Linked DNA regions of Mus musculus. The protein of the gene in region 5 purifies or fractionates together with the protein of the main gene of each other region. This does not show direct contact. Links are inferred from orthologs where the notes say so. Each region holds a gene or a part of one and is shown on either strand. Other genes may lie near its edges.

Region 1 (4,875 bases), on a different chromosome or scaffold from region 5:
CAAGCAGGTAAAGTCACAGGCTCAAAGGTGAAAACAGAAGGGTAAGGTTGCACGCGTTTGCAAGTATGTCTTCCCAACATTTCATTCTAAGTAGGTACCACCACATTGACTTTTTTTTTTTTTTTTTTTAGAAAAAGGAAAAACAAGCCAGTAAAAAAACATGGGTTCTGGGGCTCAGTCTCAGGTCCTAATGGTCACAGAGAAAAGCTTTTGGCACCTGAACTAGCTCCCCAGACCAATAGAAGGTTTTGGCCTATAAACCTAATACTATGTGGTTTGGGAAGGTGTTCATCAGAATATTGAATCATCAAAAGTACATGGTGGCGACCAGGAAGGAGGCAGGAGGAGTTTGAGGTCAAAGGTAAGAGACTGTGGGGGGTGGGGGGAGATGGAAATGTATGGCTCAGTGGCAGAACAGTTGCCTAGCATGCAAAAAAAAAAAAAAAAAAACCCGGGTTGGATTCCCAGCACTGTTTAAAAAAGGGTGTGTGTGTGGGGGTAATGACCTGCAATTTGCATCTTACCGGATGTTATATTAATATTTCCTGCTTCAATGCCGGCTTTGAGTCCTTCTTTTCCCAAAATCCCAGACTCTCCTTTGGCCAGGCGTTCCCGCTCTTTCTCTTCCAAGCTTCCATAGTAGATGTGTGGTTTCTTCACAACGGGAGCAACTAAATCGTCAGGCGCTTTGGTTTTGGTTGTCTGTTAAATCAAAGACCCGGACTAAGGTTTAGTTCCAGCAAACCATGCTTCCCAAAAGAATGAAGCTAACGCTGCACTTTCATCTTCTTTCCTCTCAAAACTAGAGGAGAAAGTCGAAACTGACTTTGTGCGAGTTAAGGCTCTTGTTAAGTTTGGCACACAAATACGACCAATCAATTTCTGCCTGAAGTGTCTTGGTTGTTTTGGGGCCCGTTACTTTAATCGACTGGAAAAGCAATCTCCGGTTTTACGAAAATAACTTCTCACTGCTGGGCAGACACTAAAAACAACCTAAACAATCAGGGTGGCTCTAGGTGCACCAAGTCACGATGTGACTGGAATACACATTTCAAATACTTTCAGAGCCGATTACAAGTTGGGAAGCCTCATCATAGTAAGTACGAGTCGGACAGCTTAAGTCAGGACACAACCCGATTCCAAAGCACCGTGTTTTGGAGCAGCCAGAAAGAGTGGTCTCTGCTCAGGACTTAAGTAAGAGCAGTGCAAAGAGAGCTGCAGCACACGAAGACATCAGGAAAAGGCTACTAAGGTCCACACTAGGGTCCCTCAGCTTTCCTCCTCCTCGGCCCAGACCCGTAAGGTAACGGCCCTTTCCCACGGGAACCCCCGGCCTCTCTAGGGCAGGCCTGAGCTTAGATCCAGAGCTCCGTACCGTGGAGGAGGCTCGTGAGGAGGCCATGCCGGGCGGCGGAGACGCGAGGCCCTAGCCAAATCCGCGTTCTACTTTTCAGACCGGGAACCGCGCGCCTAGCAAAGTGGAAGTGCGTCACTGGCCGGAAACGTATCAGAAACGTACTACGTGCGAAGTATCTTGGGAATGGTAGTTGCCAAAGGTCGGCTGGAGTCGAGGGGCGTGGCCTTACAGAGCTACACAACCTCGCGGGAGAAGAGGAGCATGGGAAGAGAGGCGCAGAGCAGCCTGGGAGGTGTAGTTTGGGCTGCGCAGCAATGGAGTCATGGTGGGAGTTGAGGTTCTGGGGAACTGCAGAGGCCTGAAAAGAGGTAGGTTTGCGGATCGCAACCATAATCTGGAACAAAACGAGGGTCTCTGTTATCCTTCGGGAGGCCTTCCGCCATTTCGAAGCTGAGGCCTGTGTTGCCATGGAAATCTCTCCCTAGACTTCTGCAGCCTTGGAGCTGGGAAAGAGGACTGTTGTCCACGACGGAAGTCCTTCGGGGGCCCCTCGTAACTCGGTGGCTACGTAATCAGTTTGGGCTTCAAGAAGATATTAAACTCTAAGACCTTCTAAGGCTAAAATAGAGATGTGGTGGAGGAGCTGCGGCCTAGTTTGTTGTGGGTTTACTTGTCTACAGCCTATTCTTTGTCTGTGTTCTTTGAAATAAAGGGTCCATGAAGGCTCCAGATAAAGAGCATATCAGCAGTAGTAGCTCCAATGAATGTTAGGCCATCAGAGATAAGGTTTTTTTTAAAAAAAAAATCCTTACATGAAAGTTGTGGGGGTTACAAAAATATGCGCGTTTGCCGAGCTGAACAGACTCACTTCCACACTCAAGGCCCTGCCCCGAACAACTCCAATTAGAAGAGCACTTCCTTTTCGAGGACTTACTAATGCCGAGTTACGCGCAACGAGCTTATTCTGTTTTAGTCATCTCAGTCACGGACAAGAGTACAAGCCCGAAAAAAACCAAAAAACATTCTGGTGAGAAAAGGTCGTTCTGGAGCCGTAGTAGTAGAATTAGTAACGTGGCAGGTCGCGAGCCGCCGAGCCGCGCTTTTAACTCGTACTCATTATTGCTCTCTAGTGGTGAGGCTTTCAGAAAGTTCCCTCGCAAGTAGGGAATTATTGTTGTTGTTGTTGTTTTTCTAAGTGTTTCTTCCTTTCCCCCTTGGAGCTGACTTCCATTTCTCTACGTAAGGATCTGGTAGAAAGTAGTATCTGATAGAATAAAGCAGTTTTGAAATGTCACGGGCCAGTGTTTTGATTAGATCACCCCTTGCTGTGCTAAGCCTCCTGAGAGAAGTGTAAATGTTTCCTATACATTGTAGTGTTTTGTTTCGTTCTGGATGCACGCAATAATAATTTCTATGAATGCACACTATAGCAAAACTTTCATGTAGATCACTATCATTTAGCTTTTTATTTTAGTGGTCTAAGTGTAACTTTGTTTTTTTTTTTTTTTTTAAATTATTTATTATATGTAAGTACACTAGCTGTCTTCAGACACTCCAGAAGAGGGCGCCAGATCTTGTTACGGATGGTTGTGAGCCACCATGTGGTTGCTGGGAATTGAACTCAGGACCTCTGGAAGAGCAGTCAATGCTCTTAACCACTGAGCCATCTCTCCAGCCCCTATGTGTAACTTTTATAGAATGCTGATTTAGCTTTTTTTTTGTTTTGTTTTGTTTTTTGTTTTTCTTTTTTTTGCTCAGGCCCCGCTCTCCCTGCTTGCTCCAGCCCAAAGATTTATTTATTTATTATATGTAAGTACACTGTAGCTGTCTTCAGACACACCAGAAGAGGGTGTCAGATCTCATTACGGATGGTTGTGAGCCACTATGTGGTTGCTGGATTTGAACTCAGGATATCTGGAAGAGCAATCAGTGCTCATAACTGCTGAGCCATCTCTCCAGCCCACATTTTTTGTTTTTCAAGAAGGGTTTCTCTGTGTAGCCCTGGCTGTCCTGGAACATGTTCTGTAGACCAGGCTGACCTCAAACTTACAGACATCCTCCTGCCTCTGACTTCAGAGTGCTGGGATTAAAGGTGTGTGTCACTACTGCCCGGCTTCTGATATTAACTAAACTGTTTGCTTCAACTTTATAAAACTGGAATAATTTTTCAAGTTTCCCAAGGTGTCTGTATTAAAATAATACAAAGAATGCGAATGTGGGACGGTTTAGTGGGTAAAGGAACCTGTGCTAAGTGTGATGCCCCACATGGTAGAAGGAGAGAACTGACCCCAGATGTTGTCCTCTGACCGATGCTTGTGAATTGTGTGCTTTCACCAACACCCAATACATAATTAAATAATTTTTTTAAGAGGCAAAAATTTTTAGTTACTAAAGTGAAAAAAAAAAACCCAATAATGGTAGAGTCTAGAACTTAAGAAAAGTTAGTGTAGGGTTGTGGGTCTTGAGTCTGCTCTGCAGCTTGGGGAGGCAGGACACAGGGAGTTTGACTGCACTTACCTCATGCCAGCTCAGGGCTGGTGCTGGGCCATAGGGAAGCCCCAGGACATTGCTGGTGGGAAAGCGGGCAGTCTGAGGCATGGAACAGTGGGAGCTGGTTTGGGGGTCTGCCTGCTTGTGATGAGGCTGGGGTGGTCGGTTCTCAGGCTTTCCAACATCCAGGCCCCGCTGGGAGCCCCAGAAGAGCTGAGAATGGAGTGGGGGAGCAGCTGGCTGGCTGTGTGTGGTGGGGGGAAGGGGAACAATGGCTGGTCACACGGGGAGAGTCCTTGGCTTGACTGCAGGCTTGGGCTTGGGCTTGGTGGGCAGTGGTGGCTGGGAGTGCAGAAAGGCCTTCTACAGGACTAGACAGTGGCTCTATAGTCGAAGGCCTTCTCCATGGCTCCCCATGGTGGATCCCGATGAAAAGAGGCAGTCCATAGTAGTAAGGCATTTATTGTCATAGAGGAAAGTGGATGTATAAAATCATGCCCCCACTTCTCAGGGTGGGCCTGAGGTTAAATACATTTTGCAGGGAGGAGTGTCTGGGAAGGAAAGCTTATTGCTTATGCCCTCCAGGCCTTTAGGCAACTCATTAGAATGGAGATCTGGCTTGATCCTATGGTGGTCACGTTTCTTTTCCTCTTGTCTTGGTCTGAGATGTTAGTGATGCCTCATCTATGTTGGGGGTGGGGGGCTTGGGGCATTGCCCTTACATGACTGATGGCCACAAATCTATGGGGGACTGCAGTTAGTGACAGGGGCCTGGTGCCTGGGAGCAGGCGAAGGTCCTACCTACCATCTCTTCAGGGTCCCCAGGGCTTCAAAGCCTTTTTAGCTCAACTGAGGACCAGGCTACCTCTCACTGCCCGACAAGTTAGTTTCACCTTCTCTATTGTTGTGTAGCTCAGTTTACTCCAAAACTTTATTTATCATGGATACTGTAGAGGATATAAAGACGATACCTTCAACAGTACTAAGGTCAGCCTAGCTTTTTGTTGATTCTTTGAATGTCACATCAG
Region 2 (5,079 bases), on a different chromosome or scaffold from region 5:
CTCTCATGAAGGTTGTGGCTTATTTTCAGGTGTATGAGGAAGTCAGGTGCAAGTCATAAGACTTAGCTGCAGTCCTGGGCACCTTCTTGGGACTGCTGCCACACCCACTCCTCACGTGGGGTCAAGATGTCTTTGTCATAGGCTAGTGAGATGGTTGAGTGGTTAAGAGCACTGGCTGTTCTTCCAAGGTCCGGAACTCATTTCTCAGCAACCACATGGTGGCTCACAACCAACTATAAAGGTATCTGATGCTATCTTCTGGTGTGTCTGAAGACAGCTACAGTGTATACTCATATACATAAAATAAATAACTAAATCTTTTTTAAAAAATGGCCTTGAATCTCAAATTTAAGCAAACAGCTTCAGTTGTTTACATTTTAATTGCATGTAGTTATTTATTTTGTGCGAGTGAGAGGCACATGCGGCTGTCTCAGAGGACAACGTGAAGGAGTCAGGTCTCTCCTCCCACACAGGGGATTGAATTTACAAAACTAGCCTTGCTGATAAGTGGTTTTACTCTCAGGCTGCCCAGCTTCAACATTTGAAAGTTTTGGTTTCCTTGTCGGCAAAGAAGGACTGACAATTCAAAGTACTTATTTGTTTGTTTGTTTGTTTGTTTGTTTTAAGCGTTTTCAAACAGGGTTTCTCTGCGTATCCCTAGCTGTCCTGGAACTCACCCTATAAACCAGGCTAATCTTTAACTCACAGAGATCGGCCCAACTCCCAAGTGCTAGAATTAAACCACCCCCTGCCAACGTTGTTATTTATTTATTGAATATGAGTACACCATTGCTCTCTTCAGACACACCAGAAGAGGGCATCAGATCCCATTAAATGTGGTTTTGAGCAACCATGCGGTTGCTGAGAATTGAACTCAGGATCTCTGGTATAGCAGTCGGTGCTCTTAACCACTGAGCCATCTCTCCAGATCCAAGTTGTTGTTGTTTGTTTGTTTGTTTGTTTCAATGTATTTTTATGAGTATCTGCATGCCTGAGTGTGTATGTCTGTGCACCACATGCATGTATGTGCCCATAGACGCCAGAGGAAGGAGTCGGATGCCCTGGAGCTGGCCTTTCAGACTGTTGTGAGCCACCAGGTAGGTGCTAGGAACCGAATTCCCCTGCAAGAGCATGCAGTTTTAATTTCTGAGGCGGCTCTCTCCCTCTATGGAAATGGCTTCAGCATTGCGATTTGTGAATATGCAATGCAGTAACGAGTTCGTAAAGGCTTGAGATGTTGACAGTGGGGCGATCAGAGATCCAGCTCATCCCTGTAACTATCTTTTCTTCGCACTTGGATCTAGCGGGTCACTTGGACGGGCAAGCCATGCCTTGCACCAAGGAATCTATTCCCAGTGACAGGGACAAGAGTCGCCAGGAGAGGGGGGCGTGCCACCTTCGCCTAGGACGCTCCCGTAGTTGGAGAAAGCCAGCCCTTGCGCGCCTGATTCGAAAATTCAATTTTTAACTGTCCGTTTTCCGCCTCCGCTGTGTTTAGGATGAACTCCTGTGCATTGTTACTAGCCTCCGCGAGGCATCCATTCCTCTCAGGCTGTCTTTAGCGCAGCAAAACTACGATTCCTACTGGGATGGCTTTGAAGATGATGATGATGGAGAAAACCCTTTCGCCGCTGCTTCTTTTTACTCAGGCACGTCCGTGGCTACCTCCATCTTCGGGGGGCGGAGCCGCGTCTGGACCGGAAGGACCCCGGCGCCGTCTCCATTTTGGAACTTTCCCCGAGCCTCTGCTCTCGGTTCCCGGGAGTTCTGTCCGCCGCTGCCGGTGCCGCGGTGTCGCCGGGGGCCACGGTGTTGCCGGGCAGGATGAGTGTGATAGACCACGTGCGGGACATGGCGGCTGCGGGACTGCACTCCAACGTGCGGCTCCTCAGCAGCCTGCTGCTCACCATGAGTAACAACAACCCGTGAGTTGGAGAGGCGGGGAGGTGGCGGTCCCGGGAGCCGGGGTTGGCGGTGGCGGGGGGACGGTGTGGTCCCGCGGAGGGCTGCGCGGGATCCGGCCTCGGTGGCCTCGGAGTTCTGGCTCCTTCCAGAACGACGAAGTCCCCTGAGTCCCGGGGACCCAGTCCACCGAGTGTCAGCCGTGGGGGTGCCACCCCAGCGGAGGGAGGGGACCCCACTTTCCGAGACTGAGAGCATCGGTGGCGGGCGCGGTGGCGCCTTTTTTTAATTTAAAAGGAACCCTGGCAGTCTAATGTAAGGCCCGACATTGCCGCCGGGGAGTGACTGGTTTTGTGTGGTTGTGTTTACAAACAGGGGTCTCCTGTAGCCCAGGCTAGCCTGCCCCAGGCTGTGTGTGTGTGTGTGTGTAGTCAAGGAAGACCTTGACCTTCTTACCCTCCTGCCTACGCCTCCCAGAAGCTGGGGGGGGGGGGTTAACTGGTGTTTTACACCCCCACCATGCTCTCAGTGTGCGTGTGGACCTTGGGGATCGAACCAGGGATTTCAGGCGTGCTAGGCAAAACACTACCGATGGAGTGACAGTTCTATCTAGCCGGGTTTACTGCGTCTCAAAGGAAGCCCGGGACAGTTGTAGGCTTGAATTGCCTGTAAGGGCCTTGCTTAAAAATTTCCCCATCATTGCTCACTCTTCGACGTGGCTCCGCAAGTCAACCTAGTCATTCCTTTTCTCTAATTTCTCCTCCTGCCCGAGCGCTCTCAGAGCAAGCATTGGCACCGGTGGCTTCACTTTAGAACCGCTGCCTGAGCCGGGCAGTGGTGGCGCATGCCTTTAGTCCCAGCACTTGGGAGGCAGAGGCAGGCGGATTTCTGAGTTCGAGGCCAGCCTGGTGTACAGAGTGAGTTCCAGGACAGCCAGGGCTACACAGAGAAACCTTGTCTCAAAACAAAACAAAACAAAAAAAAATGCTAAGGAAATGTGTTTATTACAGGGAGGTCCAGTAGGTCGACCAAGATCACACCCTGGAGAACATAGAGGAGCGAGTGGATCTGTCTATGATTGGAGATAGTTTGTATTTCAGTCCACCACTGTCTAGTGCTTCCAAAGAACATTACAGTAGCCTTCTACTCCGTGCAGACATTTGCATTTGGCGTGGCTGAGGCTAGTCTAGTGAGACAGCCAAAGGGCTGTGAGGGGCCTGTAATTCAGTCACTACCCCCCACTCCAATTCATTAGTGTGCTTTGGACCGACTAGGCACACACATCATTTGGTCACCAGCTTCTTTTTTTTTTTTTTTTTAAAGATTTTATTTATTTATTTATTTTTATTTATTATATGTAAGTACACTGTAACTGTCTTCAGACACTCCAGAAGAGGGCATCAGATCTCATTACGGGTGGTTGTGAGCCACCATGTGGTTGCTGGGATTTGAACTTCGGACCTTCGGAAGAGCAGTCGGGTGCTCTTACCCACTGAGCCATCTCACCAGCCCGGTCACCAGCTTCTTAGTGTGACACGAGGGACACTGGTCTCTGTCAGCCTTCTGTGTTGATGTTGAGGACTTTTCCCCAGAATCTTAGTGGTGCTTCATAGCAAATGGTTTCCTGTGTTGGGGATAATGCCCTAATCTTTACTCTTGGGTCGGGACAACGTTCTAGCACTGTTTGAACGCTATAGAGCGTCCTCCTCTAGTTAGACTGAATTGGGCTAACCCATGCTTTTCCACGTTAGGTTAGATTGGCAAGTTCTTAGCTACAGGAAGCAGATAAGTTCTGACCTTCATCCTTTATGTTTTGATATTTGTTGAAGAGACAGTGTACACACTGTCCAAAAACAAAATAAGACTGATAACATAGTTCAGTGGTAGAATTCTTACCTAAAATGCCTTGCAGCTGGATCTAGCCTTTACAGTTACCTAAGATATCGCTCTGCCCGGGAAATGGTCATTGTGTACTGGCTGGTTTTGGGTGTCAACTTGACACAGGCTGGAGTTATCACAGAGAAAGGAGCTTCAGTTGAAGAAATGCCTCCATGAGATCCAGCTGTAAGGCATTTCCTCAATGAGTGATCAAGTGGGGGGGGCCTCTTGTGGGGTGGTACCATCTCTGGGCTGGTAGTCTTGGGTTCTATAAGAGAGCAGGCTGAGCAAGCCAGGGGAAGCAAGCCAGTAAAGAACATCCCTCCATGGCCTCTGCATCAGCTCCTGCTTCCTGACCTGCTTAAGTTCCAGTCCTGACTTCCTTGGTGATGAACCGCAGTGTGGAAGTGTAAGCCGAATAAACCCTTTCCTCCCCAACTTGCTTCTTGGTCATGATGTTTGTGCAGGAATAGAAACCCTGACTAAGACACACTGTAACATACTTGCCGAGCGAGTAGTGTCTCTGGAGTGATACATGAAAAGCAGTGCTCTCTGGAGAAGGATGGTGGTTGGGTCAGGTTCAAAACCGAGGAAGCAGTACTTTGCTTGCCTCTGTTTTTCCCACCTCACAGCTTCACTGTGTAGCCCTGGCCGTCCTGGAACTCAGAGATCCACTTGCCTCTGACTCCACAGTGTCGGAATTAAATGATGATTGAGCCAGCACACCGGTCTTCGTGAAGCTGAGGCTGACCTTGAACCCCTGATCCTCCTGCTCCTACCTTCAAGTTCTGAGATTATGGACTCCATCTATCCCATTTGACTTTTTTTTTTTTTTTTTTTTTTTTGGTTTTTCGAGACAGGGTTTCTCTGTGTAGCCCTGGGTGTCCTGGAACTCACTCTGTAGACCAGGCTGGCCTCAAACTCAGAAAACCACCTGCCTCTGCCCCCCCACCCCCCCACCCCCCCAGTGCTGGGATCAAAGGCGTGTGCCACCACGCCCGGCCCATTTGACTCTTTTGAATGATTTTGTTGTATGTACCTGTACACAGGTTCCTAAGTACACATACATAATAATACAGCTTATTTTTTAAGAAGGTACTATAGATTACCAAATGAAGTCACATTAGGGACTGACTGCGGGACTGACTGCTAATAGACTTGGAATTACTTTGGTTTTTATGTTTATGTGCCTGGTGCATTTGGAGGCCAGAAGAGGGCATCAGATTCCTTGGAGGTGTAAGCTGGAGTTACAAAGAGCTGTAAACTGCCCGATGTATGTGCTGGAATTTAGACTTGGAT
Region 3 (5,026 bases), on a different chromosome or scaffold from region 5:
GAAATTCTGAGCCTGTAAGACAGCCCCAATTAAATGTTGTCCTTATAAGAGTTGCCTTGGTCATGGTGTCTGTTCACAGCAGTAAAAACTCTTACTAAGATTGAAGTTGGTACCAGAAGTGGGGTATTGCTGTGATAGGCCTTTTGTCTGGAAGAATGTGGATTTGGGGACTTTGGATTTGGAAAGCAGTTGAATGCTTTAAGTGGGGCTTAATGGGCTATCCTAGTAAGAATATGAAAGATTTAGTTGCTGAGATTGATTTGAACTGTTCAGAATTGGCTCAAGACGGTTCAGTGGAGGAAAGTTTCAATATGGCCCAGAAACTGTTTTTGTAGTGTTTTGGTGAAGATTGTGGCTGCTTTTTGCCTTTGTCTTAAGAGTCTACCTGAGTCTAAGATAAAGAGACTTATATTAATTGCATTGACAAAGTCTCAAAAAAGCCCAGCAGAGACCTTGTTCTCTGGTTAAGTCTCATGAAGAACATTTTAAATAAGCATAGCAAGTTTAGAAAGGAAAAATACAAAATGTGGTTCACATATTAAAGGGGCACCAGGAAGTGAAATGGAGCTGAATCTTACGTTCTAGGAAATAAAAGATTAAGGGATTGGGGGTAAGATCCCATCCAGCTAAGTTTAGATTCAGGCATGGTGGTATACACCTTTAATTCCAGCATTACAGGCGGCAGAGCCATGCAGATCTCTGAGTTCAGAGGTTCAGTCGGACATCATCAAGGTGGGAACATGGCAGCATCCAGGCAGGCATGGTGCAGGAGAAGCTGAGAGCTCTACTACTTCATATCAAGTCTGCTAGCAGCATACTGACTTCAAGGCAGCTAGGATGAGGTCTTAAAGCTCACACCCACAGTGACACACCTACTCCAACAAGGCCACACCTCCAAATGGTGCCACCCCCTGGGCAAAGCATATTCAAACCATGACAGAGGGAAACAGTTTTGATAAACAGTACTACTGATGATAAAATGTAGACTTACTTTGCTCTCCCTTCTTGCAGAGTGGTCTTTATACTTAAAACCCAGAGCAGTTGTGATCAACAGATTGACAATTGAGGTTGCCTGGGCAGTGTCTGTCCACATTTTCTCACAAAATTGAATGCTTAGATAGCCACAGAATAAATCCTGTTTCCTCTTAACTGTGGTGAGTTTGCTACAAGTCAAGAAATCATTTAAATAAGGCGAAAGAAAACACACTATTTGTCCCTGTTAGGGAGGGTGCAAGCACTTTAACAGTATATGTCTGTAGATAGGAATCATTCAGTGTTTTGTTTTCTTTTTAAATGGTGATTTCCGTCCAATGTTAACCCTCTTTTAATTTGCTAAAATGCTGCCTGATAGAGAGGTTTGTTGTTTTAAATTCTACAATGCATCCAGGGCTGAAAACGACTGTGTGCCAAAGGAGGTCCAGTGTGTGAGTCCGGAGTTTTGATTAGAGCCTAAACCTAGAACAAAAGGGATTGTGTACACAGCAGCGAATTTCTGAGCAAACGGAAAAGGCCTGGAAGGGTTCCCACACGTCCGCGTATACAGGGTTAAGGATTCCTTTGGTACTTGCTGTGCAGCGGGCAGCCCAGAGTAGGGGACCTCCGAGACACCAGAGCTCGCTCCGCCCTAGCCACGCCCAGCTACGGCCTAGCTCCGCTCCCTTCTAGCCCCGCCCTCACCCGCTGTAGCCTAGGCTAACTTTGCCCTAAGCACTCGCTCGCCCCGCCCACACGGCTCCGCCCTACATCAAGCCCCGCCCTGCGCTCTCCCCGCCCCACCGGCGCGCGGCTGCTGTGCCACTCACTTCCTCTCGCGAAGACGTCCCGGCGTCGGCGCCGGAAGCTTTCTCCGAGCGCGGAGGGCGGAGTGAGAGGGCGGGGAAGGCCGCTGGCTAGGAGTAGGCCGAGTCTGCGACTCTGGCAGGTACCGCTGCTGGCAGGGCTTTGTGCCAGAGCTTTGTGGCCGGGTGCTCCGGCGGCCTTCTCGCGCACGTCGTTGCAGGGCCGCACCCATGCTGCGCTTTCCGACCTGTTTCCCATCCTTTCGGGTGGTGGGAGAGAAGCAGCTGCCACAGGAGATTATTTTCTTGGCCTGGTCCCCCAAGCGAGACCTCATTGCTTTGGCCAACACTACAGGCGAGGTAAGTGAGCTGGTGAGAGAGGTCGCCTGGGCTGGGACCCTCGAGCCTCAGTTTCCCCTTTGGCAGACGTGGCGAATCGCACATCTCTCCTGCCCCTACATCTCAGCATGGCTGTTAACTTTAAGAGACTGTGTAAAATACTGTGCCTTCCAGACAGGATGTGTATTCCATTTCCTGTATGGCCCAGAAGAACAAATTCCCTCCAAGTTCTGCACACCCAGGACTCCAGGAATTGATTTGGCCAGGGATGCACCATCAGACCCCGCCCAAAGTTGGTTTCAGATTAGTAGAGAATGAAGATGAACTGTCAAGTCCAACTGGAAGTGTGTGTGTGTGTGCAGTTGCTACAGAGGATGCTTGGTTCCGAGGTTTTACATCTTTGTTACATCTAGCTATTTAGAAGATCTTTAAGTTGAAAGGCTGATGCCTCACAGAATTGCAGACAGAATGCGTGTGGACGTTGTCAGTTAGCATTTCTGACATTAGGAACGTGAACATGCGATATCAAGTACAACTAGATACCCATCTTTCTGTGGAGGATGACTATTACCTGACAGCCATCTTGAAAGGGTCCCATCATCCATGCCACTTAGCACCCTCACCTATGTAAAACTAGGTGGTAAGGAAGGCCTAGCACCCAGAAATGCTTAGTGTGCCAGATTGCATTATCGTGTTGTGTGGCACGGCTCTGTCTCTAAGATCCATGGCTGGTGACATAGCTAAGGCGTGGGCTAAGAGTGCAGTCATTATTGTTGTTATTTTACTATGTCACCTACATATTCATGTTGTTTGTGTTACTTCTTTTGTCTATTGTCTTGGATAGGCTTTTTAACCTTTTCAAAAAGGTAAGTTTAAAAGATACAAAAGGGGCTGGAGACATGGCTCAGCTATCAAGAGCACTTGCTGTTCTTATAAATGACCTAGGTTTGGTTCATAGCACCCACATGGTCACAACTGTCGGTAGCTTCAGTTCCAGGGAGAACTGATGGCCTCTTCTGGCCTCCTGGGGCACTGACTGCACAAATGTGGTACAAATACATACATGTAGGTGTACCTTAAAAAAAAAAAAAGAAAGAAAATATGTAGAGTACAGGACTAAGTTGGGCCTTCTGAGTTCACCCATTTCTTTGAAAATGTCTTACATTCGTTTGGACACTGTTGTTCTGTAGATTGCAAAAAAAAATACTCAAAAGTAGTAATTAAAATTTTTGTTCTGTGGGTCTAGGTTCATTTTATCTCTGCAGGTGAGTTTGCAGCTTTCTGCTATCATGTCTTTTCATCTTAGGTTTTGCTGCATCGCCTTGCAAGTTTTCATCGAGTTTGGAGTTTCCCACCAAATGAAAGTACAGGAAAAGAAGTGACCTGCTTGGCCTGGAGACCAGACGGCAAACGTATGATAATGCTACAAACGTGTATCTCTTATTTCCAAAAGGATAGTCTAAAAACAGTACTTTTTCTTGGTATATTTTAGAATTATGGTTTTGTTTCTGTTGTATAGGTCTTACTGTATAACCCTGACTGGCCTAGGACTCTTTGTGTAAACCAGAGATCCACCTGCTTCTGCCTCCCAGGTGCTGAGATTAAGGACATGTGTGGCCTACCGTATCTGGCCCTATATTAGAACTATAAGTACTAGTTTGAGACTTTTTTTTCTTATTAGAATGCTTATATTTTTCATGAAAGTCTGTTGTTGGCAGGGATAAGTCTTTAATGAGCCCTGGCTTTGTGGCAGATAGGATCAAAGTCTGAGACATTTGCAGAATAATTGGCTTTGGCTCTCTCTGCTCTCTTGTCCTACATCATTTGATCCAAGTACCATTCACCACTCATGAGTCCATTCAGTGCCATCACAGTCTTTTTCTCCCCCAAATTCAGTTAGTACTAAATGTGAGGTTCATAAATCTCCTCTATGTAAGCTACCACTCAGGAGGGGCTGCGCACTGTGACTCTACATTTCCCAAAGGTCTTTTCCTGCTGTCGTGGCTCAGATCATTCATCTTCCATGGGGGTGTGTGTGTGTGTGTGTATCTTGTTTAGTTTGTTTGTTTGTTTGTTTGTTTTTCAAGACAGGGTTTCTCTGTGTAGTCCTGGCTGTCCTGGAACTCATTCTGTAGACCAGGATGGCCTCGAACTCAGAAATCTCCTGCCTCTGCCTCCCAAGTGCTGGGATTAAAGGCTTGCACCACCACTGTGCTGTCTTGTTTAGTTTCTTAAATTGATAGTTTCTGGAGCAGTTAGTCCTAGTGTTAGAATAGTAAATTGCTATGGGCTGCAGCTTGAAGTTTATCAGGGTGTCCAGCTTGTGGTCTATAAGTCACATGGGACTCTGTATAACAATGAATATGGCCCAGCACAAAATTTTAACGTCCTCAAAACTTTGGGTTTTTTTTTTTTTTTTTTGTTTCTTTGTTTGTGGAGGGTTTCTCTATTATTATTCTTATTTTTTTTTCTTTTTTCTTTTTTTTTTTTTGTTTTTTGTAATGTGATTGCATAGTTCTCTAATGTGAACTTCATGGTTAACTACATTGTATCACTGTGGCAAAAGGTTGAGCAAGCCTGAAGGTACTTTAAGAAAAAAAATAAATTACATTTGTAATATGAGTATGTCCTCCTGCTTAGTTTTGTTTTTTTCTTTTTCTTTTTTTTTTTTTTTTAAATAAATATAAGTACTTAAAGCTTGTTTGATAGCTGTTTTGGTGAGCAGCTCTGACAATGTGTGTAGAGATCTGTTTGTGCATTTTGATCTGAATTCATCTATTCCGATAGGCTTAGTTCAGGCCAGTGTAAACAGATTTGCCGCTTTGAATGTTAAGTGAACACTAACCACTGTGTCTCCATACTGTAATGTACAGCTGTTGGCCGTGATGCTTATCACATGTCGGCTTTCA
Region 4 (5,007 bases), on a different chromosome or scaffold from region 5:
GTTTCTCTCAGAGAGTAAAAGCCCAGCTTTATAGGTACTTTTTTTGTTGTTTAAGAAAGGGTTTCATACTATGTCCCAGTCTGGTTTACAGTTTACTATGCAGACATGAATGGCCTTGATTTTAAGGCGATCCTTCTTCCTCAACGAAGGATGACAGGTGTAAACTACCACAGCTGTTTTCTGGATCTTTTTGGTCACCAAATACTTCCAAACTTTCCCCAGAAGCTGTGACAAAGGGCTGGGTCATAGGGCACATGGAAATAGTAAGTAAGCAACACATGTGGTTGGAAGATGGGTCCTAACAGCAGCAGCAGCAGATTGGACCAAACAGAACTTACTGTCCCTGTCTCTATCTCTGAGCCAGGTTCTGTATTGAGCACCATCGTAGAGCAAAGCCCCTCACAGAAAAGTGGTTTGTGTTCTGGACTTGGGGAAAACACCAGCACCTTTGCAAAGAGAGTTAAGGGCTAGGGCTGACCTGTGTGAGGTGAGTACTTTCAGCATTTTGTGTTTTGAAGATAAGAAAGGGAAAAACTGCAGGTCTTCTTACCAACAGGATATATGGTAGCTAGCAGACACAGATCTTGCAAAACAACCTTTATTGAAACACCAGAGGCCATGGGGATGGGCCCTAAGGTTTTGGTTCTGGAGTCAAGATTCTTTCTTCAACATGTCTGGCCTGGGGCCCTAGTGGCTGGGGAGACAAAGTGAGGGGCTCCCACAGTACTCAGACCAGGACCAGGACATTCCTGGTAGCCCAAAGGGATTCAGGAGCTTCAGAGAGAGGCCCCTCATGGAGCTGCTCAGGGTCCCCACAGCACATGTGAGTACGGAGCTGGGAACACCTCTTCCATTGGACTGTCCTAGGGCTTTTCTTGTCTAGGCAGGTGGAGGTCAGAAATTGCCCCTCTGGGCACCAGAGATAAAAGACATCTGAGGCCACGAAGAACAAAGATGCTTTAGGACAGACATGTTGAGGACTAAGCAGCCATAGGCCACGGCTGAAACAGGCACTCGTCAGCTGTCCTTGCCTCCACTACTCTTCTGGTCTGAAGCTGTGGCTTTAGTCAGGTTCCCAGCTTCTCTTTTGAGTACACTAAGCAGAGTCTGAGAGCTCTCCAGGATCTGGGGCCAGAGAAATAAAAGGATGTTATTTCTCTGGTAGGAAGGTCCCATTGCCTCAGGCTCTAATAATGGAGGATGGAAATCTCAATTTGGTCATCTGTGCTGTAGCCAACTGGTTATGGAGTAAAACCATCCTCCCTTCTGCACCTGTCCCAGAGCTCTTCCACCCTGCAAAGCCAGGCTGGGTTAATTCAGGCCCACACCGTGTACTCTGTCCAATACACCAATGCTCACTTTTGGAACCCACAGACAGCCCACTGTTCCACCTACAGCCTCTGAACCACAATGGGCCCTACCTAGCCTCAGATGGTAGTAAGGCACTCACAACAGACATCTGAGAGCCCCACCTTGAGGTAGGCGGCCTCGGTTTCTGCGATGGTCCGGTCAAACTCGTTGCGAGAGGCGATCTTGCGCGCCAGGTTCTCGTTGACGCGGGCCAACTTCTCCGTGAGCTGCCTCACCTCATTCTGTAGCCGCTGCTTTTCGTCCTCCTCTTGCTGGATCTGCCGGCACAGCTCCTCTCGCTTCTGACACAACTCCTCGATGCCTAGGGTGGGTGGGAAGACAGAGCTGTGGGTGGGGACTCGTGAGCTTCCGACCCCAACCAGCAATGACAGAGGGGCAGGCCGCAGAGCGGGGCTCGTGAGGCATGTCCACGCAGCCTCCCGAGTGGGTCGGCCGGCCCCGGCCCGCGGCCTTCAGTGCCCGACGCTCACACTTGACCAACTCGTTGTTGTAGTTCTGCAGCGCCGCGCCCTGTTGGGTCATGGTCTGCACCGCGTCCGGAAGCCTCAACCGCCGCCTGCACAGCTAAGTCCGCACCTGCGCACTGCCCACAAAGCGCGCGGGCTGGTGAACGTCACGGCTGCGCCACAGGTCCGCGCTTGCGTCATCACCGTGCGCTCTACTGGGCGGGTCTGTTTTGTGGACAGTGATGGAGGCCGAGGGTGTGGCGGTGGCGGCGGCGGCGGCGGCGGCGGCGGCGGCGGCGACAATTATTGCCTCCGATGACTGCGACTCTAGGCCTGGACAGGAGCTCTTGGTTGCCTGGAATACTGTGAGCACCGGTCTGGTGCCGCCGGCCGCGCTGGGGCTGGTGAGGCCGGGGAAAGGTTGTCGGGCCTGTGCAGATTTCCCGCGACTTTGCATACTTTAGGGGGTCCACCCTTGGGGCCTCACAGCTCCGTGGCCTGCCTGTAGTGGGCTTGCCTCCTTCCTCAGCTACCTGATTTGTTTGGTTCCCTGGCAGCTCTTCGGTTGCTGGGTTTTTCCATGCCCCTCCTCTCCCTTTACCCCTATTCCGCCCCTCTGCTCACGGTTTTCCGTGCTCCAGGCGTCTTCCCGGACCAGCGGTGCAGTCCCACCAAAGGAGGAAGAGCTTCGTGCAGCGGTGGAGGTTCTGAGGGGACACGGTCTGCACTCTGTCCTGGAGGAGTGGTTCGTGGAAGTGCTGCAGAACGACCTTCAAGGCAATATTGCCACGGAGTTCTGGAATGCCATCGCTCTGCGAGAAAACTCTGTCGATGAGCCCCAGTGCCTTGGGCTGCTCCTGGATGCGTTCGGTCTGCTGGAAAGCCGCTTGGATCCCTATCTGCATAGCCTAGAACTCCTAGAGAAATGGACTCGTCTGGGCTTGCTGATGGGCGCTGGAGCTCAGGGGCTTCGGGAGAAAGTTCACACTATGTTGCGGGGAGTCCTGTTTTTTTCCACCCCTAGGACATTCCAGGAGATGGTCCAGCGCCTCTATGGTCGTTTCTTGAGAGTCTATATGCAGAGCAAGAGAAAAGGAGAAGGGGGCACAGACCCGGAACTAGAGGGTGAGCTAGATAGCCGGTATGCCCGCCGCAGGTACTACCGACTTTTGCAGAGTCCTCTGTGCGCAGGATGTGGCAGTGACAAGCAGCAGTGCTGGTGCCGGCAGGCACTGGAGCAGTTCAACCAGCTGAGCCAGGTCCTGTGAGTACTGCTTCCTAACCATGCTGCGGTTTCTCTGCAAGCTTCATTAGTCCTGAATTCAAAAGACCTCTCAATAGAGCTTATAGACTAACTGGCGATGTCTTTTTTGCCCATACTTGTAACCAGGGATTATTGTTCATCACGTTTATACTGTCCTGGACATAGGCATAGGGTGTGTGTGCAGTATCTTTATGGGGAGAGCCCTCCTAGGTAAGGGACAGATGTGTGTTGTGGGTTCTCCATGAGCGGGGATCTTTTCTAGGCATAGGCTCAGTCTGCTGGAGCGGGTTTGTGCTGAGGCCGTGACAACCACCCTGCATCAGGTGACCCGGGAAAGGATGGAAGACCGCTGCCGAGGAGAGTATGAGCGCTCTTTTTTGCGTGAGTTTCACAAGGTGAGAATCACCTCTCTGGTCTGTTTCTTGTTAAAGGCAAAAGTGGAGTTGTGGTAGACCTGATACCAAACAGTAGGCAAGTTGACCAGGAGTGGTGATGGTTGAGGTTATCCTGGTGCTGTCTATAGAAGCCAGTCCTGGATCCTGATGACAAGAACAAATCTCGTATGTACTAAATAGGTCGTGCATTTAAAATAAAAATTTTAAATCCTGGACCAGAGGTAGCTACAACGAGTTTCCTCAGGTAGGTGTGGCAAGACAGGCCTACGAGACCCTTTTCTTTCCACTGCCTACAAGTTTCCATTGCCTACAGTTCCCTTCAGGATTAACCTGTAACCAGTGTACACTCTAGCATGGAGCTAGGGTGTCCCAGTGAATGCTTCTGGTTGCCCATACTGTTGAGGTATGGTTTGTATTGTGAAGAAGCTAGGTTCAGCCCCATGAAGCCATAGACCTTGTTTCTGCTTCACTCCGTACTTCCCATTCTTCAAGAGTCTATCTGCTGTGGATGCATATTAGCCATGATGGGGAGTGATTAAAGTGGGTGTCCCAGCAGTCTTGGCCTAGAGTCGTAAACTTGGAAACTCCTGGGCAGTAGAGTGTAGACTTGATACTTCTGGCCTCTACACACAGGTTGGGGCACCTCTAGGGTCCTGCCAAAGGTGTGTGGTTACTGAGTCAGAAGGGAGCTTTTAAATGTTATTACACCTCACACACTAATGATCTTTCACAGTGGATAGAGAGAGTGGTTGGTTGGCTTGGCAAAGTGTTCCTTCAGGACAACCCCACCAGACCAACTTCTCCAGAAGCTGGGAACACACTGCGTCGTTGGCGCTGCCACGTACAGAGATTCTTCTACCGTATCTATGCCACCCTACGCATCGAGGAGCTTTTCAGCATCATCCGAGGTTGGTCCTGCCTCTTAATTTTCAGGAGCTACCTTTCCCAGTGATTGCCTTTGCTTTCCCTTCTGCTGTTGGCAGGGTGGTGAGCATGGTAGACTCCCTCTGACATGGCTCAGAGTCTAGGTCAGCATTGAGCAGGTGCTTCTAAGTATCCACCTCCCCCTTCTTCTCCCTCTAGCTCTGGTCCCACTTGCTCTGGCCCATAGGCATTATTTGTTTCTAGTTATGGATGGTTGTGAACCACCATGTGGTTGCTGGGATTTGAACTCATGACTCCTGGAAGAGCGCTCAGTGCTCTTACTGCTGAGCCATGTCACCAGCCCCTAGGTATCCACTCTTGTTTCTTTCATCTTGGTTCCTACTTAGGACTGGCCCCATGTCATGTGTGGTTATTATAATCAAGTGTCAATATATAGAAGAATGTAGGGTAGAGCTGGAGAGATGGCTCATCAGCTAAGATGGCTTGTTGCTCTTACAGAGTACTCGGGTTGTTTTGAGCACTTATGTAGCAGCTCACAGCCATCTGTAACTCCATTTCCAGGGGATCAAACACTATCTTCTGCCCTCCACTGGTACTAAGCATGCACATGGAACCTATACATATGGGCAGGCAAACAGTCCCTGTA
Region 5 (4,862 bases):
ATATCACAAACACACCACACACACAACATGCTACACATATCACATACAACACTCTACACATCATAAACAACACACACAGCACACACACACACAACATACTACACACATTACATACGACACACACACACAAACATACCACACATATCACATACGACACACACACAAACATACCACACACATCACATATGACACACACACACCATATAAATGACCTCAGGCATTTGTAGCTCCTTATATAATTTCTGAGACCTAAATTAATCCTACCCCTTTGAGGTGTGACAATGTCCTTGAATGCTAATTTAAAAGTTCTCCTGGCTGGCAATTCCAATTAGCTTATACTAAATTCAGCGCACAAAATACATTTATTTTTAACATAAGGAGGCTTCTAATTCTTATTAATAGGACATTGGGTTCTTTTTCAATCACAGCATGAACAGATATTTTAAGAACAATGACCCATTTATGCAGCAGATTATTAGCTTTCTGGTAATGCACATTACCCCCCACCTGCTCTGGATGGAAGCCTTTAGCTCCCCTTCCCCAAGTCAAAGCGGGGCCATGTCACTGGCTATGTGAGCTCAAGTCAGCAAACTGCATGCAGCTCCCGGATTGGCTATTAGGGAACACCTTTTTTTTTTTTTTTTTCCTAACACACTTTTTTGGTAGATGTCTTAGAAGTACAATTTGGCAGTGTGGTGACTCTGTTCTGAATGCTTCCATACTCAGTCCCTAAGCTTTGGATACGTTTCTATGTTCAACAGGTCTCTCAGTTTAATGTTCAGAGATCTAGACTATGCTAACTGTGCTCAGAAAACACATGTCAACTCTGCGTTATTACTATGAATATCCTTTATTCTTATTATTTTTTAATTAGTTCTCTTCTGGGCAGTTGGGCCTAGTTTCTCTCTCTCTGTCTCTCTCTCTCTCTGGGCGTGGGGTGTCTTTCTCGCGGGTGGGGGTAAGGCAGGGACCCTCTACAAAGCTCTGGATGTCCTCAAGCTCACAGAGATCTGCCTGAGCGCGCCACCAAGCCGGGCTGGAACAGGGATTCTGGCTCTCTAGGTGTGAGGACTATAAAGTGCTCGGTGCACTCACCGCACCCTCAGGGTCATCAAATCCTCAACACACAAGGGCTTAGGTTCAGGACCCGAGTGCAGAGGAGTCGGAAAAGGGTGGGGTCAAAGTGGAAAGGTCAAAAGGCCAGTGTCTCCAGTCCAGAGCCTCGGACATCCGTTACCATAGCGACTTCAGCCAAGGAATGGAATTACCGAGGCCCCAACAGGCTTTGCGATCCCAAATCCCAGGGGTTTTCGGCGCGGCTCGTATTCCGTAGAGCAGCTAGACGCAGACACCAACGCCGACGCGGTTGCCTAGCGACACGCATTTTCCCAGGATGCCTAGCAGTGTTGTGTTTTCTCAGCCAATCAGAGTTGAGATGCACCTTCGCTGTGGACCAATAGAATGCGAGGCCGAAGCCCGCGACGGTTGACCCGGTGGCCGGTTGCTCGCCGACTCAGGCAGGCAGACGAGGGGCTCGGGTTTCGGCGCGGTTGGCCTGCAGCGGGCGAGCCTGGGCTCCGAGCGGCGCGGTGGTGTGGTTGCCAGGGTGGCCGCTCGCCATGCCGTCCCGGGTGGAGGACTACGAGGTGCTGCACAGCATCGGCACCGGCTCCTACGGCCGCTGTCAGAAGATTCGGAGGAAGAGCGACGGCAAGGTGAGGCGCCGGGCAGCCCTTCCACGGCGGGCTTAGGGAGAAGCAAGCGTCGCCCACGCTGGGGAGGGGCAGGGCGGCCACCTGAACTCTCGTGAAGGACCGGGCTGTAGCCTCCTAAGAAGGGACGGGCTCGTGGAGCGGGCAGCCGCGGCTGGGAACCGGTGGAGGCGCGAATCCGCGGCGAGCAGAAAGACGAGCTCACGTGACCTGCTTCGCCGCTGCGCCACACGCCGTCCCGGACTCAAGCGCTGGGGATGGTACCGCCCACATTTCGGGTGGGTCTTCCCACTAAATTAACCCGGTCTCGACTCCCTCACTGACACACCCATTGAGTTGTTAGTGTTTTGTTTTTCAACTTTGGAAATTTCACCCTTTGTCTCACACCTTGGAAATGTTGTATTTCAGATCCTGGTGTGGAAAGAGCTTGACTATGGCTCCATGACGGAGGTGGAGAAGCAGATGCTTGTGTCTGAAGTGAACTTGCTTCGGGAGCTGAAACATCCAAACATCGTCAGTTACTATGATCGCATTATTGACCGAACCAACACAACCCTGTACATCGTAATGGAATACTGTGAGGGAGGGGACCTGGCTAGTGTCATTTCAAAGGGGACCAAGGATAGGTAAGGTGAAAGAGCCCCACGGTTCGTATCTAATAATAATTAACTTCCATGTTTGTACGCTCTGAATGACTTGCCCCAGATTGAAGATGGCTTTTATTCAGGGTTGTGAAATGTGCTTTTTCTCCAGACAGTACTTGGAGGAAGAGTTTGTCCTTCGAGTGATGACTCAGTTGACGCTGGCCCTGAAAGAGTGTCACAGAAGGAGCGATGGTGGCCACACTGTGCTTCACCGGGACCTGAAGCCAGCCAATGTCTTCCTGGACAGCAAACACAATGTCAAGCTGGGGGACTTTGGACTAGCTAGAATATTAAATCACGACACGAGTTTTGCAAAAACGTTTGTTGGCACACCCTATTACATGTCTCCTGTGAGTATTTTAGAATTCAACTTTTTTTTTTTCCCTGAGACAGGATTTCTCTGTGTAGCCCTGACTGTCCTGGAACTCACTTTGTAGACCAGGCTGTCCTTGAACTCAAAGTGATTCTCCTGCCTCTGCCTCCCAAATGCCGGGAATAAGGGTGTGAGCTACCACACCTGGCCTAGAATTCAACTTTTTAATATCTTAGGTGAAGCATTCAGATGCAAAGAACTGAGGCTTGGGTTGCTAGTAAATCCAGTAGCTCAGAATTCACAATACAATTTAAGTTTGAGTTTGACTTTGTTCCCCTAATGTTGGGGATTGAACCTAGGCCCTCAGGCATTTGAGTTACACCCCAAAGTCTTTTATATGTATTATGTATTTAAAAATGTTTATTATTTATGTATATATAGTATATGTGTCTTGTGAGTGAGTGCTATGTGTATGGTGAGACCAGAAGAGGGAGTGGACTTACCCTATCCCACACACTCACGCTCAGGGTTCCAGGCAACTGTGAGCCGTCTGACCAGATGCTGGAACTTGAACTCAGGACCCCCGGGAAGAGCAGCAGGTGCTTAATCGCTGACCCCTCCTAGATTTGTTTTCAAAGAGACTTCCTGGCAAACAGTTCTCTGTATTCAACTAGAGCTTTCAAAAGAAAAAGAGAACTAAGGACTTATTTATGTGTATGGGTGTTTGGTCTACATGTATGTAAGTGTGCCACCTGTGTGCCAAATGCCCAAGGGGGTCAGAAGACAGCATTGGACTCTTTGGAGCTAGAGTTATGGATGGATTGAGAGACTGGAAACCATATCCAAGTCTTCTGTAAGAGCAACAAGTGCTGTTAACCACTAAGCCATCTTCAGTGTCCCCCATTTCCCAGAGTTTCACTGTAGTTCTGGCTAGCCTGGAATTCACAAAGATCTGCCTGCCGCTGCTGGGATTAGAGGTGTGAACCATGTTGCTCAGCTTTTGTTTTGTTCTTCAATAACCACAAAATGCTAAATTATAGGGTTACAAATAATGTTTAAGGCAACAATGTTTCCAAGGGGAATAGTGTTTGTTTGTTTTGTTGTTTTTTGTTTTTTCAAGACAGGGTTTCTCTGTGTAACCCTGGCTGTCCTGGAACTCACTCTGTAGACCACGCTGGCCTTGAACTCAGAAATCCGCCTGCCTCTGCCTCCTGAGTGCTGGGATTAAAGGCGTGAGCCACCACTGCTCAGCTGGGAATAGTGTTTAAAGGCAACAATATTTCCGAAGATGTCAGTCCTAAAGTGGTGACTTCAGACTCCCTGGGAGTGTTTATTTTATTTTTTTAACATACGGAGTCCTGGACCCAAAGTTAAAGCACCGCTGGTCACGCTGTCTCAGCAGGCAGCTGAGGTGAACCGAGATGCTCAGGTACTTGCTACTGCTCATGAGTTTAGGACCCAGACCCAGGGAATGGTGCCTCCACATTTAGAGTGAGTCTCCCCAGCTGAGCTAAGTCTAGATTCCCTTAGTGATATACACAGAGACTTGTGTCCTAGGTGATTTTAGATGCTGTTAGGTGGACAGATTTAGCATTACAGTAACTGAAAGTTTGGTGAGGCTCAGGTCTTCTCACAGAGGGATCCAGTGTTTAGTGTTAATTTCTGCATGTCCTGTCCTTGCTGCTCTTCTGCATTTACAGGGTGTTCCCAAATGTCTCACTATCATAAGGCACCCTAGGTGCATAGCCTTGTATGAATTAGTCCTCATTTCTGATTATTAGATTGTAGAACAATTGTTAGGGCAAAAACATGACAGGTTTTTAATCTGTCATTAGATGTCAAGGTCAGGGCCTGCTTTTTATCCCAGTCTGATTTGCATAGTGAGATCCTGTCTCAAAAAACAGAAGCAAAGCACAAGTAAATACCAACCAGCCTCAAGTCTGTAAGGGGCAGCACACACACACACACACACACACACATCCTCCGTCCACTGTTATAAAAGCACAGCAGTATCTAACACTCTCCTTACTTCTCCCAGCTGATGTCTCAGGGAAACTGAGCCCATTCAGGCCCTAGGGCAGTGGAGGGCAGTGGGGAAGGAGGCAGGAAAGGCCGTGCAGGGGTTAACATCTGGGTGATTTCCTTTGTACTTAAGCGTTCTGTGTGCAACATGACACCATGGAAAACCGCCCA
Region 6 (4,760 bases), on a different chromosome or scaffold from region 5:
TTTTACCAAGGACACCCGGCAGAGAAGAGCTGTAGCCCAACTCCTCCCAATTCCTCAATATCTACAATAAAAACCTCCTCAACCATATCTAGGAGTGGTCACGTCCTTGTTTTCATTCACCGACCAGTTTGTTCCCTATCGGTTTGGGTTTCTAAGTACGGCCTCTTCAGAAGGCAATCCCCATCTCCCTCATCCTAGGCTGGCAGTGGCAGAAGATATCATAGACTCAAGGAGAATGACAATGGCTTGGTTGCTCAGAACACAGTGGAGAGTGGGGTATCCTAGTCCAAGTGACTCCTGGTAGGGTTGATGGGGTTGTAGACAAACTGTGTGATGGGGCAAGAGGTAGAGGGTAGAGAATGGAAGCAGTGAGATTGACAGGCCACTTACGTGTGCTCCTTGTTGGGTTTTCTTCTGTTTGTTCTTCCAGATAGCCTAGTGTGTGATAGAAAGGCCTTTGTAGGATAGGGAGGTTTTGCGGGGAGGAATCAAGAGGTCGGAGCAGAGCATGTGGAATATGTGTTAATTTGACTGTTTTTGATTATCCAGGCAAGCGAATTTCAGCTAAGCAGGCATTCCGCTCACCAAGTTCTAAGAGCAAGCCTTCCTGTTGCAGTGCAGCTTCAAGCTCTGAAGGATGGCGTTCCAAGAAAAGGGATGAGAATGAACTAAAATAAATGTGTATCACAATAGACAATTACAGTGAAGTTATCAAATTCCAACAAACTGAATTTTGGAGCAAAGAAATGGACTGGAACTCTTTATTCTTTAGGCTATGATAGGCCTCACCATTTTTTTTTTTTTTTTTTTTTTTTTCTTAGCGATGACGAACAGTTAACGGACTAAAGCCCATCTTGGGTGGGGGTGTGTGATTTCCGGGTAGAGAATTTTCCATGCAATCCTGAGAAAATGAGTGGTCTCCCTTCCGCTCCCATTCATCAGCCAGGAGGCACACATCCCCTTTTGAGATGAGAAGGAAACTCAACCAGCTGGGAAAAAAAATTACCTAACTTAGCTCAATTGAGAAGGTAGTTCAGGATCTTAGAGATTTGGTTTGTTAAAGAGGTAACGTCGTTAAGTGACCGCCTTCGCTATAGGCACTTGCACAGACACCTTTTTCAACTGCGCAGGCGCTAGGTCCTCTCCGCTGCCGCGCGTCCCCAGCCTGGCTCTGCCCTGGCGCGAGGCAGGTCGGGAAATCCAAGATGGCTCCAGCCATTTGAGTTGTTCGCAAGTCTTTGGTGTCCCGCTGCCGCCCATTCTTCCTCCGGCATCCGGGAGGGAAAAGGGATGAGAAACTGGGGCGGTGAGGAGTCATCGTGACGGTCCTGTCGCTGCTCTCGGGCCTTCGCGGCCCTTGTGCCTCCGGGGAGCAGCCGGGGCTCGCAAGCGCCTGACGCGTCCCGAGTTATTCAGGTGCGGGCCGGGCCGGGTCGGGCCGGGCCGGGTCGCGCATCGCTGCGACTTGGTGTTGGAATTTCGCTGCACCGGGTGCCCCAAGGGCTGAGCGCCCCGGGGCTGGCCTTGAGCTCCTGCTGGGGTGAGAGGAACCCCAGTATCAGACTGGGCTTTCCGGGTTGGCCCGACGCGCCATGAGCCGATGCTCCGGCCGCTACGCCGTGGCGCGGTTCACTCAAAAGCACGGAAAGCCTGTTTTTGTAGAGACCCAGCTCAGGGTCCCGCTGTTTGCATATGTTCCTAGTAACCAGTAATGACAGTTTTATTTCTAGCATGTCAACTCAATGCTTTTATGTGGCCTGTAACGAATAACACGTTTAACAACTTTTGGAGAACTGTAAAAGTATTAAGTATGATGTCTTTGGGTTAAAAGGCATCTAACTGAGAAAATGATGCTATAAAAAGTTATCCTGTAGGTTCGTTTTAAGCTAAAAGGGAATGACATTGCATGTTTGCATGAGGAAACGTCGGGTAAAGTTGCAAGTTCTTTAATGTTGACTGCTTTGTTGAATAGAATTTGGAAAGGCCAGCCACATTTTGATAAGCCCCTACTTTTCATAAGGCATATGTGTTTTTCAAGTTCTGTTCTCAATATTGATTTTATTTCTAGGAGGTGAAAAAGAAACTTGGGCCTGTTTTTTGGCGTAATCATTTCAGGAATGACGTTTAAGTCACAGCAAGGAAGATTTTGTAGCTATAGAGGGCTTCGTATAAACTAGAGGCTTTCAGATTGTTAAAAAAAATGATGCCAACAAGACTTTAGATGAGAGCTTCAAGTCAAATTTAGTTAGCAGTTGTTATTCTTAAGTGCCATTTCAAACACTGAGGGTTATAGTGCTGCTAACAAATGCTGTTGTAGAGGTTTCCTCAGAGACAAAAAGGCACATACTATGCCACAGAATGTTTGAATGTTAGTTATCTTTACATGCCGTGTGTCGAAATGTCTGTGAGGTGGATCCCCATGTTTCTGACCTAGCTCCACTCGGGTCTCTGTAGTAATAACTTAGTTTTGACTAGAAGGCTGACAAGAATGCGTTTGGATTCACACAGAAATAATGTTCATATTTGGAACCCATGTCGAACTTCTCTGAAGAAAGGGCAACGATGATTGCAGCCGGGGATTTGCAGGAATTTGTTCCTTTTGGCCGAGACCACTGCAAGCACCACCCTAACGCTCTGAACCTTCAGCTTCGTCAGCTGCAGCCAGCCTCTGAGTTATGGTCTTCTGATGGTGCAGCTGGCTTGGTGGGATCTCTTCAGGAGGTTACAATCCATGAGAAACAGAAGGTTTTATTAAGATTCTCATCATACTTTTGAAATTTAGAATGAATACCGTGCTAATATAAAGCTGCCTATATGCATGTGAGAAATAAGTGTATGTTGGCACTTGGTTAAAAGCTAATGTTTGGTCATTTCAGTCAGTGCTGAAATATGGTGCTGCCTACATAGGCATGCTGTGTAACTTGTAATGAGAGTTGAGTACTTTAATCATGGCTCATTTTAAACTTTATCCTCACTTCAGATGTGGGTAATCAGGTTTTATACTCTTTGGTGACTAAATGCCAGAGGTTAGAAGTGGTACCTGCAACACATGTTTCTAGAAGAGGGTTGATGTCACATAAGGGTGTTAGCATAGTAGTACTTTCTATTTTGAGGTGGACCTTAGTCAGTAGCCCAGACTGACCGTGGAGGTTTAAGCTGCCCCTCTCTTCTGCTTTACCTAGTCTTTGTATTTGCCTTTGAAATTAAATCTCTTGGAATGTACATAGATAGATAGAAATCAGAAACTTTTTAGCTTCTATTCATCTTATGTGTGGGACAAGGGGAAGAAGATAAATAATATATTTGCAGCTGTGAAGCAAGGAAGTCCCCCCATTGAGTCCTATGTGCACCTGTCTATTTTATGCCTTCTACATACATTTAATACCTACTTTTAGTTTCCCTTCAAGCATGGGTTTTATCTTATACTCTATATGTAAGAGATACTTTTTGTGTGCCTGCGTTATTGGCAGAGCAATACTAGGAACATAGAAGTATAAAATAAAGTACTTCTTATAGAGAATTTTTGAGTCAGTTTTTAAAAAACCTGCCTGCTTGTATGTCTGTGCACCATGTGTGTGTAGTGGCCATGTGGGCCAGAAGAGGGCTCAGATCTCTTGGAACTGAAGTTATAGACAGTTGTGTAGGTGCTGAGAATCAAACCCCAGTCTTTAGAAGAGCAGCCAGTGCTCTTAACCACAGAGCCATCTCTCCTACCTCTCTTAACTTATCTCAAGAGTCCCGTGATGTAATGTGCCCACTTTGCTAATTCACTCATTGTGCTCACCTATGTATTGCAATCCTTGTAGGAGTTAGTCTTGGGTTGAGTCTTAATTTACAGGCAAATCTTGCTTCAAACTACTGAAAAAGAAGAAGTGCTGAGCATGTCCTGTGTGTTAATTTTTAAGGAAAGCTGGCAGTTAAGAAAAGGTGTGAGTGAGATTGGAGATGCAGCTGACTACGATGAAGAGCTCTATGTGGCTGGGAACATGGTTATCTGGAGCAAAGGGAGTAAAAGCCAGGCACTGGCAGTGTACAAAGCGTTCACAGTGGACAGCACTGTCCAGCAGGTGAGTTTACTGAGTTTGCACAGCAAACAACTGTTAATATAGCTGTTTGGAAAAGAAGTTTGAGTTTTAAAATGATAACAAATGACAACAACAGTGTAACAATTGTAGCAGCTGGTTGTACATTATGTCTGGCAGGAAAGTAAGATTTTCATTTTATCCATCATGACAGTGTCTCTGTAGCCCAGGCTGGACTGGTATTTGAGATCCCCCTGCCCCAGCCTCTGAATATGACAGGCACCTATCACCGTGTTTGGCTTATCACATTCTATATTTTTTGGTTATGAGCCTAGCCTTTAATTCCTGAGTCATCTTTCCAGAATCTTATCACATTCTTCACATTATTCTTTGCTTAGTTGTCTTAGTCAGGGTTTCTATTCCTGTGTAAACATCATGACCAAGAAGCAGGTTGGGGAGGAAAGGGTTTATTCAGCTTACACTTTCATACTGCTGTTCATCACCAAGGAAGTCAGGACTGGAACTCAAGCAGGTCAGGAAGCAGGAGCTGATGCAGAGGCCATGGAGGAATGTTCTTTACTGGCTTGCTTCCCCTGGCTTGCTCAGCCTGCTCTCTTATAGAACCAAGACTACCAGGCCAGAGATAGCACACCCACAAGGGGACCTCACCCCTTGATCATTAATTGAGGAAATGCCTTACAGGTGGATCTCGTGGAGGCACTTCCCCAACTGAAGCTC

Evidence for each region.
Region 1: the proteins of Nek2 (region 5) and Cdc26 purify together in Homo sapiens (affinity purification with mass spectrometry; 3 studies listed by BioGRID and IntAct, with this or other methods). This does not show direct contact. The link is inferred for Mus musculus from reciprocal best matches to the Homo sapiens genes NEK2 and CDC26.
Region 2: the proteins of Nek2 (region 5) and Anapc7 purify together in Homo sapiens (affinity purification with mass spectrometry; 3 studies listed by BioGRID and IntAct, with this or other methods). This does not show direct contact. The link is inferred for Mus musculus from reciprocal best matches to the Homo sapiens genes NEK2 and ANAPC7.
Region 3: the proteins of Nek2 (region 5) and Anapc4 purify together in Homo sapiens (affinity purification with mass spectrometry; 6 studies listed by BioGRID and IntAct, with this or other methods). This does not show direct contact. The link is inferred for Mus musculus from reciprocal best matches to the Homo sapiens genes NEK2 and ANAPC4.
Region 4: the proteins of Nek2 (region 5) and Anapc2 purify together in Homo sapiens (affinity purification with mass spectrometry; 4 studies listed by BioGRID and IntAct, with this or other methods). This does not show direct contact. The link is inferred for Mus musculus from reciprocal best matches to the Homo sapiens genes NEK2 and ANAPC2.
Region 6: the proteins of Nek2 (region 5) and Anapc1 purify together in Homo sapiens (affinity purification with mass spectrometry; 3 studies listed by BioGRID and IntAct, with this or other methods). This does not show direct contact. The link is inferred for Mus musculus from reciprocal best matches to the Homo sapiens genes NEK2 and ANAPC1.

The regions. Positions count from the first base shown.
Region 1 is NC_000070.6:62,405,402-62,410,276, reverse strand, and holds the start of Cdc26 (anaphase-promoting complex subunit CDC26), read left to right. Parts: upstream 1-1,651; 5' UTR 1,652-1,725; intron 1,726-4,875. Other genes in the region: Prpf4 (U4/U6 small nuclear ribonucleoprotein Prp4), read right to left, coding at 525-702, 1,376-1,402. UniProt on the Homo sapiens protein: Component of the anaphase promoting complex/cyclosome (APC/C), a cell cycle-regulated E3 ubiquitin ligase that controls progression through mitosis and the G1 phase of the cell cycle.
Region 2 is NC_000071.6:122,420,754-122,425,832, forward strand, and holds the start of Anapc7 (anaphase-promoting complex subunit 7), read left to right. Parts: upstream 1-1,690; 5' UTR 1,691-1,824; coding exon 1,825-1,925; intron 1,926-5,079. UniProt on the Homo sapiens protein: Component of the anaphase promoting complex/cyclosome (APC/C), a cell cycle-regulated E3 ubiquitin ligase that controls progression through mitosis and the G1 phase of the cell cycle.
Region 3 is NC_000071.6:52,832,255-52,837,280, forward strand, and holds the start of Anapc4 (anaphase-promoting complex subunit 4), read left to right. Parts: upstream 1-1,880; 5' UTR 1,881-2,009; coding exon 2,010-2,138; intron 2,139-3,423; coding exon 3,424-3,529; intron 3,530-5,026. UniProt on the Homo sapiens protein: Component of the anaphase promoting complex/cyclosome (APC/C), a cell cycle-regulated E3 ubiquitin ligase that controls progression through mitosis and the G1 phase of the cell cycle.
Region 4 is NC_000068.7:25,270,457-25,275,463, forward strand, and holds the start of Anapc2 (anaphase-promoting complex subunit 2), read left to right. Parts: upstream 1-2,009; 5' UTR 2,010-2,059; coding exon 2,060-2,221; intron 2,222-2,458; coding exon 2,459-3,081; intron 3,082-3,343; coding exon 3,344-3,476; intron 3,477-4,209; coding exon 4,210-4,384; intron 4,385-5,007. Other genes in the region: Ssna1 (Sjoegren syndrome nuclear autoantigen 1 homolog), read right to left, coding at 1,018-1,125, 1,473-1,672, 1,842-1,893. UniProt on the Homo sapiens protein: Together with the RING-H2 protein ANAPC11, constitutes the catalytic component of the anaphase promoting complex/cyclosome (APC/C), a cell cycle-regulated E3 ubiquitin ligase that controls progression through mitosis and the G1 phase of the cell cycle.
Region 5 is NC_000067.6:191,820,027-191,824,888, forward strand, and holds the start of Nek2 (serine/threonine-protein kinase Nek2), read left to right. Parts: upstream 1-1,446; 5' UTR 1,447-1,619; coding exon 1,620-1,715; intron 1,716-2,120; coding exon 2,121-2,338; intron 2,339-2,465; coding exon 2,466-2,706; intron 2,707-4,862. UniProt on the Homo sapiens protein: Protein kinase which is involved in the control of centrosome separation and bipolar spindle formation in mitotic cells and chromatin condensation in meiotic cells.
Region 6 is NC_000068.7:128,683,809-128,688,568, reverse strand, and holds the start of Anapc1 (anaphase-promoting complex subunit 1), read left to right. Parts: upstream 1-1,173; 5' UTR 1,174-1,416; intron 1,417-2,508; 5' UTR 2,509-2,532; coding exon 2,533-2,745; intron 2,746-3,905; coding exon 3,906-4,067; intron 4,068-4,760. UniProt on the Homo sapiens protein: Component of the anaphase promoting complex/cyclosome (APC/C), a cell cycle-regulated E3 ubiquitin ligase that controls progression through mitosis and the G1 phase of the cell cycle.